2 linked regions of the Drosophila melanogaster genome follow. The gene in region 1 interacts genetically with each later gene. Each region holds a gene or a part of one and is shown in the gene's direction. Other genes may lie near its edges.

The links. A genetic interaction does not mean that the proteins touch.
Region 2: of app (region 1) and Dlish, changing one enhances a phenotype caused by changing the other (phenotypic enhancement), as found in Drosophila melanogaster (one study listed by BioGRID).

The regions. Positions count from the first base shown.
Region 1 is NT_037436.4:12,263,837-12,268,798, reverse strand, and holds the start of app (approximated), read left to right. Parts: upstream 1-1,957; 5' UTR 1,958-2,144; intron 2,145-3,052; exon of another isoform or gene 3,053-3,207; intron 3,208-3,888; 5' UTR 3,889-4,178; intron 4,179-4,962. Other genes in the region: CG32100 (uncharacterized protein), read right to left, coding at 1-1,041, 1,149-1,169. UniProt on the Drosophila melanogaster protein: Palmitoylates Dlish which is required for the apical cell cortex localization, total cellular level and full activity of dachs.
Region 2 is NT_033778.4:17,721,547-17,725,608, forward strand, and holds Dlish (dachs ligand with SH3s), read left to right. Parts: upstream 1-1,762; 5' UTR 1,763-1,893; coding exon 1,894-1,939; intron 1,940-2,225; coding exon 2,226-2,349; intron 2,350-2,409; coding exon 2,410-3,307; 3' UTR 3,308-3,510; downstream 3,511-4,062. Other genes in the region: CG10934 (uncharacterized protein), read left to right, coding at 872-1,456; Snx16 (sorting nexin 16), read right to left, coding at 3,836-3,896, 3,956-4,062. UniProt on the Drosophila melanogaster protein: Required for the apical cell cortex localization, total cellular level and full activity of dachs.

The DNA.
Region 1 (4,962 bases):
AAAATCGCAGGTGACATCGTGAATCTCGGTCTCCTCGTACCGCTGGGCCTGTCCAGGCGTAGGAGTGGAATCCGAGCTGGGTTCACGCTCTATCTTGTCCAGCTTTTTGTTCGCCTTTTGCTTTTTGGACTGCGAACGGGAGCTGGCATTACTGGAGTAATTGGAACTGGAGGCGGTGGTGGTGGGCGTGGAGTTCGAGGGTTCGGTGGTACTGGAATCGGCGGACTTGGCCAGGGGCATCTCTGCACTCACCGCCTCTTCGCTGGCGCAGTTGATGGTCAGGCTGGCTATGTTGCGCAGATTGATCGTGCCATTGCAATTGTTGATTGTGATTTTTGGCTTGAAGCGCTGTTTGCGACCCTTGCATTTCGGTGGTTCTTGTACGCTGCTCTTTGATTTGGCAGAGGTTTCTCGCCCCAAGCTGGAAACGGCTTCGGCAATCGAAGATTCCAACTCGTCATCCAGCTCCTCCAAGTTTAAGGGCGGCACATATGTATCCCTCTTGATCTTGGCCTTTTTTATCAGATCCTTTGCCTCCTGCAGTGTAATGTTGATAATGGAGCGCTTGGCATTATCTTCGACGAGACTTCTGTTGCGAGAGAAGTCGACCACAATGGCCTCTGGTGGGGCACCGTCTTCGTCCAGATCGAGATACGATACTTGCCCATCCTGCAGGCACTTGTACATGGTCTCGTGGTCATCTAGTGGCTCTATGTAGTCCTCGTTCCTCAAACCCGTGGTGCGGTAATCCTGCAGCGCCAACTGCATATCACTGTTGTCCAGCAGAAAGTGTCCGTAGCTTCGGATGGCTGTCAGTAGTTTCTCCTCCGCATCCTCGCTTTCCCCGGGAATGAAACGCACACCACTTTGATCTTTCTTGCCAACCGAGTTCGAGTTCTCCATTTCGGTGGGCGACTTCTTCAGCAGCTGCTGCTGCTGTCGCGTGTTCGCTATGACCTCCAGTTGCCGGAGCAGCAACTTCTCGCGCATATGCAACGCAGCACGGATTTCATTGAACTTCTTTTGTACGGTGTCTTTGACCTGGGCGATGAAAAATTGGGGCGTGTATCAGTAAACAGCAGTCAAAACACACAGTCCATTCGGTTTTAGGGGGCTGAATATAAAAAAAGGAGAGTACAAACACAAACCTCATCCAGATTCTTGTCCATTTCGTGCGTGCTACTAAATACTTTCTCCTTTCTAAACGCTGCGCATTTTTTTTCATAAATTCCTGTGTATCAATATTTTTTGTTTGATCGATCAGCTGAGTTGCGGAGTGCCCGCCGCTTTTAGCTAATAAAAAACCAGAGGCTCACAAGGACTGGTACTTGTAACTGGTCACACTTTACATTTGGCGGGAAAATTGAATTTGCAAGTTTGATAAGAACATATTTCATATTAAGTATTATTTTGGCTTTATGCCAAAGATTCTGGTAAAGTTGTATTTAGTAAAAACACTTTCATATTCCTCATTAACGATCTTTCTGTTTTACTACAAAAGCACAAGCAAAATCTAGCAAAATAATATAGGCAGCTCTTTAAAATTGATGAAAGGCTTTGTGTTTTATTTATTAAATTATTTAATTATTATTTATTTATTTAAATTATTTAAAATATTTTGCCGGGTTGTTCAAACTTTTAACGTTAGCGGAAGTGCAAGCGCTGCCACCTTGTTGCTGCGCTTAACAGAGAGATCATACTTATACCGCTACGACACTACATTGTGGAGTCCAGTACAATGGAAGGAATTGGGTTTTAAGATTTCAAAAGTCTGAATTGTTAGGGCAAACAATAAGCACAAAATTCCAGAGATGAACTAGTTTATGATTAATTAAGCTCTTTAGAAGCATATTAATTTATATATCAAATGTAGTGGTGTCACAAGCACTTGAGCGGCTTAAAAGTGTGTGACCGTATGGCAACAGTAGAACAATCCACATTACAGAGCTCTGTTAGCATTGCAGAAGTGTTTTAACACACCCGAAATTCGGACACACCGTCGTCAGTTTGTTTTCATTTCAACTTTGCGTCGGGTTCACTCCAATTTTCGCACCGGAGGCGCGCATTTCAATTAAATTCGGGAGAGCGCTGAATGCGCACGCTGTTTCCCTAAAAGTTCAAATATTTAAAGACGAAAAACATTGGTAAATTATTTTGGTTATCCTATAAAAAAAATAAAAGATTCGCACTTGTGTTGAAAATACATCGGTAAATCCGATAAATCGCCGGGAAAATATGAAGAGATTTTGGCGCTAAATGTGTTCAAAAACAACTATTAATATAAACGTTTTTAAAATATTGTTGTGTGTAAAAATATAGATTGAAGAATTGACGTTCAAAAGCAAAAGCAAAACAAATCGAAAATCACCGCTTCCACGTATTTCTCAGCTGTCTTTGTCTTTGGCTCTGCCGTCTCTTTTCCACACGTCGCGGCGCCCTCAAGTGTTTGGTTTTGTAATTGCCTTTGCTTCGCGAAACTGTGCTGATTTAAATGTTTTTTTATGTACCGTTCTTAAAGTATTATTTCCCCAAATGCAGTTGAAACATAACAATTGTCGCGTGGCTTTTGCAGCGATGAGCAGAGAGAAAAAAGCAGCCGTGTTTAAATAACAATAGTCATCGCTTATTGTTGTTGCCCCAACTAATTTGAACTGTGCATGTGTGTGCGAGTCTGATTGTGCTTGTGTGAGAAGGCGCGTTGGCGTTTGTTGTTGTTGTTTTTTCTTTGCTCAGCAGCTCAGCACAAAAAATCCGAATGAAAGAAATATTCAGAGAATTTTGAGTTTGTTTCTCGTTCTTCCTGCCAAAGAGAGAGAAGCATAAAAAGAAGCAACAAACAAGACAAAACAATAAAAAAAAATCAAGGGAAACACAACACACATGCAAAGCAACAAAAGAAAAGGCAAATAAAAGAGAGCGAGAGAGCGCGAATTGTGTCAGTGACGCCAAAAAATTTAAAAATATCAATAATGCCCACCAGTGTTTTATTTTCGTTTCGCCAAACGGTTTATAATTAATTAACTGCAACTATATTTAATTGGTTTTGTGTCGGCATAGTTTTTATTGCTCTTTCGATTGTGTTTCCGCTGCATTTGCCGTCGTTCTGCCTTTGCGATTGCGAGACTGTCTTTGCAAATTGTCTTTGCGTCGGCGGGTCGTGACTGGATTCCATTGAATATTTTACAAACAGATGATGCATGTGGTTGTGTACGTATGTTTGTTTGTTTGTCGCCTTTAAAACCACATGTGCTTGGGTTGATTTCCTTAAAAATATGCTCTATAGGAATACAGTTAGTTGCTGCTTTTCGCTTTCTTGACTAGCATTTTTTTTATCGCGTCTAGCTTTCCGGTTTTTCCCTTTTCTCTCCCCTTTTTTTTAGTTCCATCTTGTTATCATCGCTAAAAACCTGTTTTGTTTTGTTTTTTTTTTTTTTTTACTTTTTTTTACCTGGTCTCCGGGTTTTTAAATTCGAAATTACCTCATTTTACACCTCAATCGCGGGGTGCTTTTCATTTAGTCGCTGCGACTAACCCACTAAATTGAATCATTTTTATTTCACCCGGATTTGTAGGTCGTCGAAATGTTGTTACACTTTCGGCGATTTCAAGATATCGCGTAAATATTTATCAGAAACGAAAATTCAGAAGTGTAAATATGCGATTATTGAAATCAAGTCTATAAACATCCACAACTGAGCCACCAAAAATTGTTTATTTTCCTGGAATTTTTACCTGTTTAGGGAAAGCAATAAAATGCGCAAGTAAACATGTAATATATAAATATGAAATATGTATATTTTAATGTACAGCAAATATCCGCAAAATTGACTTATTAATTAAATATAAAACTAGCATTGAAAATATTAAATATTCCAACATTGAAAACAGCACAGTTATAACACCTTAACTACAAAGTAAACTCGACAACCAAATGAAGACAAACCAATATCTACTGTATATTATTTTAAAAACTGTATAATCCACAACTATTTTAACCGAAAATCTGTAAAAAGAAGTCCATTAAACTATATTTTCGTGAAATTAACGCGTGTAATCGAAAAGCATTCGAGTACTTAATCATCATCGAAGGCGAATGTCGAAAAGTGTTCCGAGGTCAATGTTTCTGTTTCTGCTGCTGGCAACTCATCGCCTAAATTAAGTACACAATCTGCAGCGAGGTGAGTTTTATTCAGATATATATATATATATTACATACTACACCCCTGACCCTGGCCCCACTTATTTTGGAGTATTTCGAAATGCCTCCCACTTGTATTTGCTGCCCCATTGAGAGTTACTCGTAACTCCCTCTATATTTGTATATTTACCACTATACCACTATCTGTCTGCGAATCGTGTGAAATTGTGTGAAATACTTGCGATATTGTCGACATTGTGCGATGAGTAAGTTCAATACAAGTGGGCTAAGTACACACACAAAGCAACTTGAATGGAGACGCTAAACATTTTCTACATACTAACTAAAGCAAATACATCAAATGAACTACGCAATTATTTGCCTGGTAATATCAATAGGCTAATTTTTATAGGACTTCAACATTTTCACATCAGCTTTCTTCATGAAAATTTTGAAAACTTGCCTAAACATCGTGAATGCTGATTTACTATCAATGTTGCTATCAATCTCGAACTTTATTAATACTCAGTTTTTATATATGTTTCACTTCTTATCGAATCAAGATTGCCATGTCAGATAACTTACTTAACTTTTCTAGACATTGAACATTATTTTTTAGGTTCAAGGGAGAGTTCTATGTACTTATAAGTAAGGCATTAATTATGTAAATTAATAAATGATGTATCCACAGTATTTATTTGTTAATGCTCGAGCAAATAAAAGTCGTTAATAAATTCCATTTCGCAAATAATGAGCTCAGCAAGCATTTAACTCTTAATTTTTTTTTATTTATCATTCGATTTCTGTTGCGAAAATTGCAATAT
Region 2 (4,062 bases), on another chromosome or scaffold:
CTCCTGCCCCGCCCACTGGCCGCCCCTTTTTGTGAATGGCATCCGAGGAGTGGAGGACTGCGCAGAATCCTCTCTATCGATTAAAGCCCAACGCAGACAGCTCTCTCTAATAAAACTTGGGATAGGGCATGGGGATGGGTTTCTGGGATGTGCGATGTGGGCTGTGGGATGGATGATGTGATGCGGATGTGGAATCAACTGCGTAGTAGTCAAAAGTCAAGTTGAAGGGGGTCTTTTGGGGGTGTGGCACCTGCTGCTGATGCTGCCACGCCACTGCTGCTGGTGGGATAATGTTCGAGATGCTTAATGCGCAATTTAGTTTGGGGTATGTGCACATGGGGATACGACGAAGTGTAGGTCAGTTTGGACACTTTCTCTCTTTGGACCCATCCTCTCTTGCTGAGACTCTTTGTTTCCTTGCCCTTTCCATCGAAATTCTCTCGCTGAATTATAATCGAAAATTGCATGCGAAAGTTTTATCCTTGGCACCAAAATAGTGCATTGGCCCCTCTTTTTTCAATGCTGTCCAATAGCGCAAGTGACGCTCGCTAAGAATGACGAGGTCTCAGTGGGGCAGAGGGTTTTAAATGCACTCTGAATTAAATGTATATATTATGTTTATACTACTAAAAGTATTGCTTAAAAAATCCAGATATCTCTAACCTATTATGTTCTATTACATTACAAAATTCACATATATTTGGACTTTTAGTTACATCACTATAATACAATATAAAGTTTTAAATAGAGCTCAGTAGACTTTGGATATACAGCCATTACTATCTAGTAAAGTAACACCTTCCAAACACAATTCATAGCGCCTGGAGCTAACTCAAATCTATCATTCGTTCACATTTTGTATACGACTAAAATGGTGGTTGTACAGGGAATGTACGAAGTCACGGAGCTGGTGGCTGGCAGCGTGGGATGCGTGTGTCTATACATCGCCGGATGCAATGTGCTGCCCATGGAGCATATTCCCGATCTTCCGTCGGCGCTGTTCGTCCTGACCGCCGTGCTTTTTCTCCATCATCTGAGGGTAATGAATTGCGCACCGCTGCAGAAGCTTTGGCTTTTGCTGCTGGAACTGTTGGTCTTCTATATGTGCACCCAGGTCGTGGTGCTTGTGTGGCTCCAGTTGCTCAGCCATATGAATAAACTGCGGGACAATGCAGTTAATACTCGTACCGGCATGTACCTTTTTGAAGCCTATCCAAAAGTCTTTATGTTTTTGCGCCAAGATGTCTACTATTTGGGGCAGCTTATCATGTCCGTGGCGTGCACCTACAAGGCGATAATGGTCACTCATGCCCTGGACTACGCCCTACCAAATCGCCGGACGTACAGATACTATGAGACAGATGAGAACTTAGGCGATGGTCCGCGGCGTCCTACCCGAAAGAGCAACCAGCGATCAACACCCAAGAAGAGCACCGTGCGTGGTCGCAAAAAATAGAAGCTGTCGCAGAAACTGGATCAATCAAATCGCCCAATCTAAACACAGTTTTTCTATGCTTTCGATCATTGAATTAGCCCACAAAACACGCGTAATAAATTATCAAGGTAAACGGCGGCCCGGGTGCATTGCACCCAAATCGAAGGTGCTGCTCAAGAGCAGTTTACGCTTTACTAGAAATTTGCATGCTTGAAAGAGCAGAGCCAACACGTACACACAAAACCAACTTATTTTCAAATTTTGGCGCCTCGCGACAATCGATTAACGGACAACATCATCAAGATCAGCCAATCGTATGAATTCCACCTCTAACACCAGAGAATATTGAGAAGAAGAAGAGCGTTGTGTCGGATCTAAACAATAAAGAAATTAAGCAATTAGCCGAAATTTTGTTGTTTTTCGGTTGAAGGGGGTTTAATTCCGAGTGGGGGGAAGAGATGGCATTTCTTTGCCCCGTGCGCATGAGGCGCGACAAGAAGAAAGGTGTGTTCATAGAAAGCGGAAGAAGCAGCACGGAAACAAAAGACTTCAATCACGAACTTGTTGTAGGAACTTAAAAAAATTGAAATTGTTTAAATCTGTTTATTGGTGCATTTATTTTGTATATCAATGTACAAGAATTCTTTTTGAATTAAATATTTGTATTCAAGTTTTTTTTCTTGAAACTATATTATGATTGAATGCATAAGATATACATTTTATTTTAAATTTAATTAAATACGACATATATTGTACCTAAATAAGCATTTTCAAAATACTCCCTTTTCAGCTACAAATGCCAGCATTGAGAGGGACTTACCAGCTGTGGGTGTATTGGGCATGGGCCGCATAACTGGTTCCTCCAGCATTGAAACACTTGTAAGAGTGGGCATTGAAAAGGAACACGGTCTAAGGTAAGTCGATCCCATCCATTATCAGTTTAAATAGTCTGTACAATATTAATTCTATTTTAGTCCTGATTCCAAGATGGTTGTGCTGCACGACTTTACTCCTTGCGTGGATGATGAACTAGAGGTGAAGCGTGGACAGCTGGTTAATATCTTGTACAGAGAGAACGATTGGGTCTACGTGATTGGTCAGGACTCTAGGCAGGAGGGTTTCATACCCTTCTCTTATTGTGCTCCCTGCAACACGCAACTGGCGGATTTGGCTGTTAAGAAGAAACTGCCAAGGGAACAGTGTCCAGAGCAGCCGATCGAAGAGAATATACCACTTTTGGGCACGGATAACAAGCTGGATGTTCTTTGCGATGAAACCTTGAATCCTGGCTCCGCCAACAGCATAGAGAACACCCTGCTGGTGGAGCCAGAGTGTACTCCTTTCGTGAAGGAACCCTCCGGGCGCTGTATCGTCTTGTACACCTTTATAGCCAGGGACGAGAATGATTTGTCTGTGGAACGGGGTGAATTTGTTACCGTGCTAAATCGCGAGGATCCCGATTGGTTTTGGATAATGCGCAGTGATGGCCAGGAAGGATTTGTGCCAGCCAGCTTTATTTATCCTGCAGACAGTGTACGAGTTTTGCAGCAACAGAAAGCCACTTTAAATGCCATGGAGACCATTTTGCAGCAGGGTCAACAAGGTCAGCAGAGCCAGCAACAGCAGCAGCCTCAATTGGGCTTGGGAACAGATGATCTACGCTACCATGGCACGGAGCTGGTGATGCTGTATGATTACAAAGCGCAAGCTCCAGACGATCTGTACCTTTCTGTGCGGAGAGGAGATTGGATTTACGCAGACTTAACCAATCAGACTGTTGATGGCTGGCTTTGGGCTTATGCTCCGAAAACCCGCAAATATGGATTCATCCCGAAAGCCTATGCCCGACCACCCGCGATGACCAGCCTTTAAGAAATAGATTCAATACCATAATCGTTTTAATTATCACTTCGACTAACACTAAAGCGTAATATTCGTAAGTCTTCCAAACACAGTCGAATTGCATTTCGAAAAGCGTTTCTTTGTGGCTTGGATATTTTTATCTTGAACACTAAATTAATTTTCAACTCATAAATGCCATTTTCATTGAGTAATAAATTGTGCCTTAGATTTATTTTGTATGTGAGTTTGCATAACATATCGTATACACTTAGTCTAGTGATTTCATTCTTAACTGTAAGTGCCTCGTAAACGAATATCAAAAATATCTACTATCGTATTCCATATAGTACCAGCGTGGGCAGCACTTTGCTAGCATCTAGGTCTAGATATGAATACTAAAGCACTGTAGGGGCCAACCCCTCGATATGCACTTGGTTTGTATTATTGTATTGGATTTGCATCCAAGCGGCGCAGTTGCGTAGAGTTATGCTCAGCATAATGTTGTACGCACACGCACGTCCAACTGGATTTTGGTTATCACCTCCGATTGGCGAAGGTCTACTTTATTCCCAAACTGTCGCTAGCTGAGGAGCAGTGCGAGCAATTAAGCTCCATATTTCTGTAGAGAGAGATTGGCTAATGAGATTTTTGCATTTGTAAAAGAAATTGTTATCCTACTTCATAGCTTCTCTCAGCTGCTCCTTCTCGTTCATCTCCTCGCGCAGTTTCTGCTGCAAACTGAGAATGAGATCGTTTTTATTTCGAATCTGCAGCTTCAGATGCTC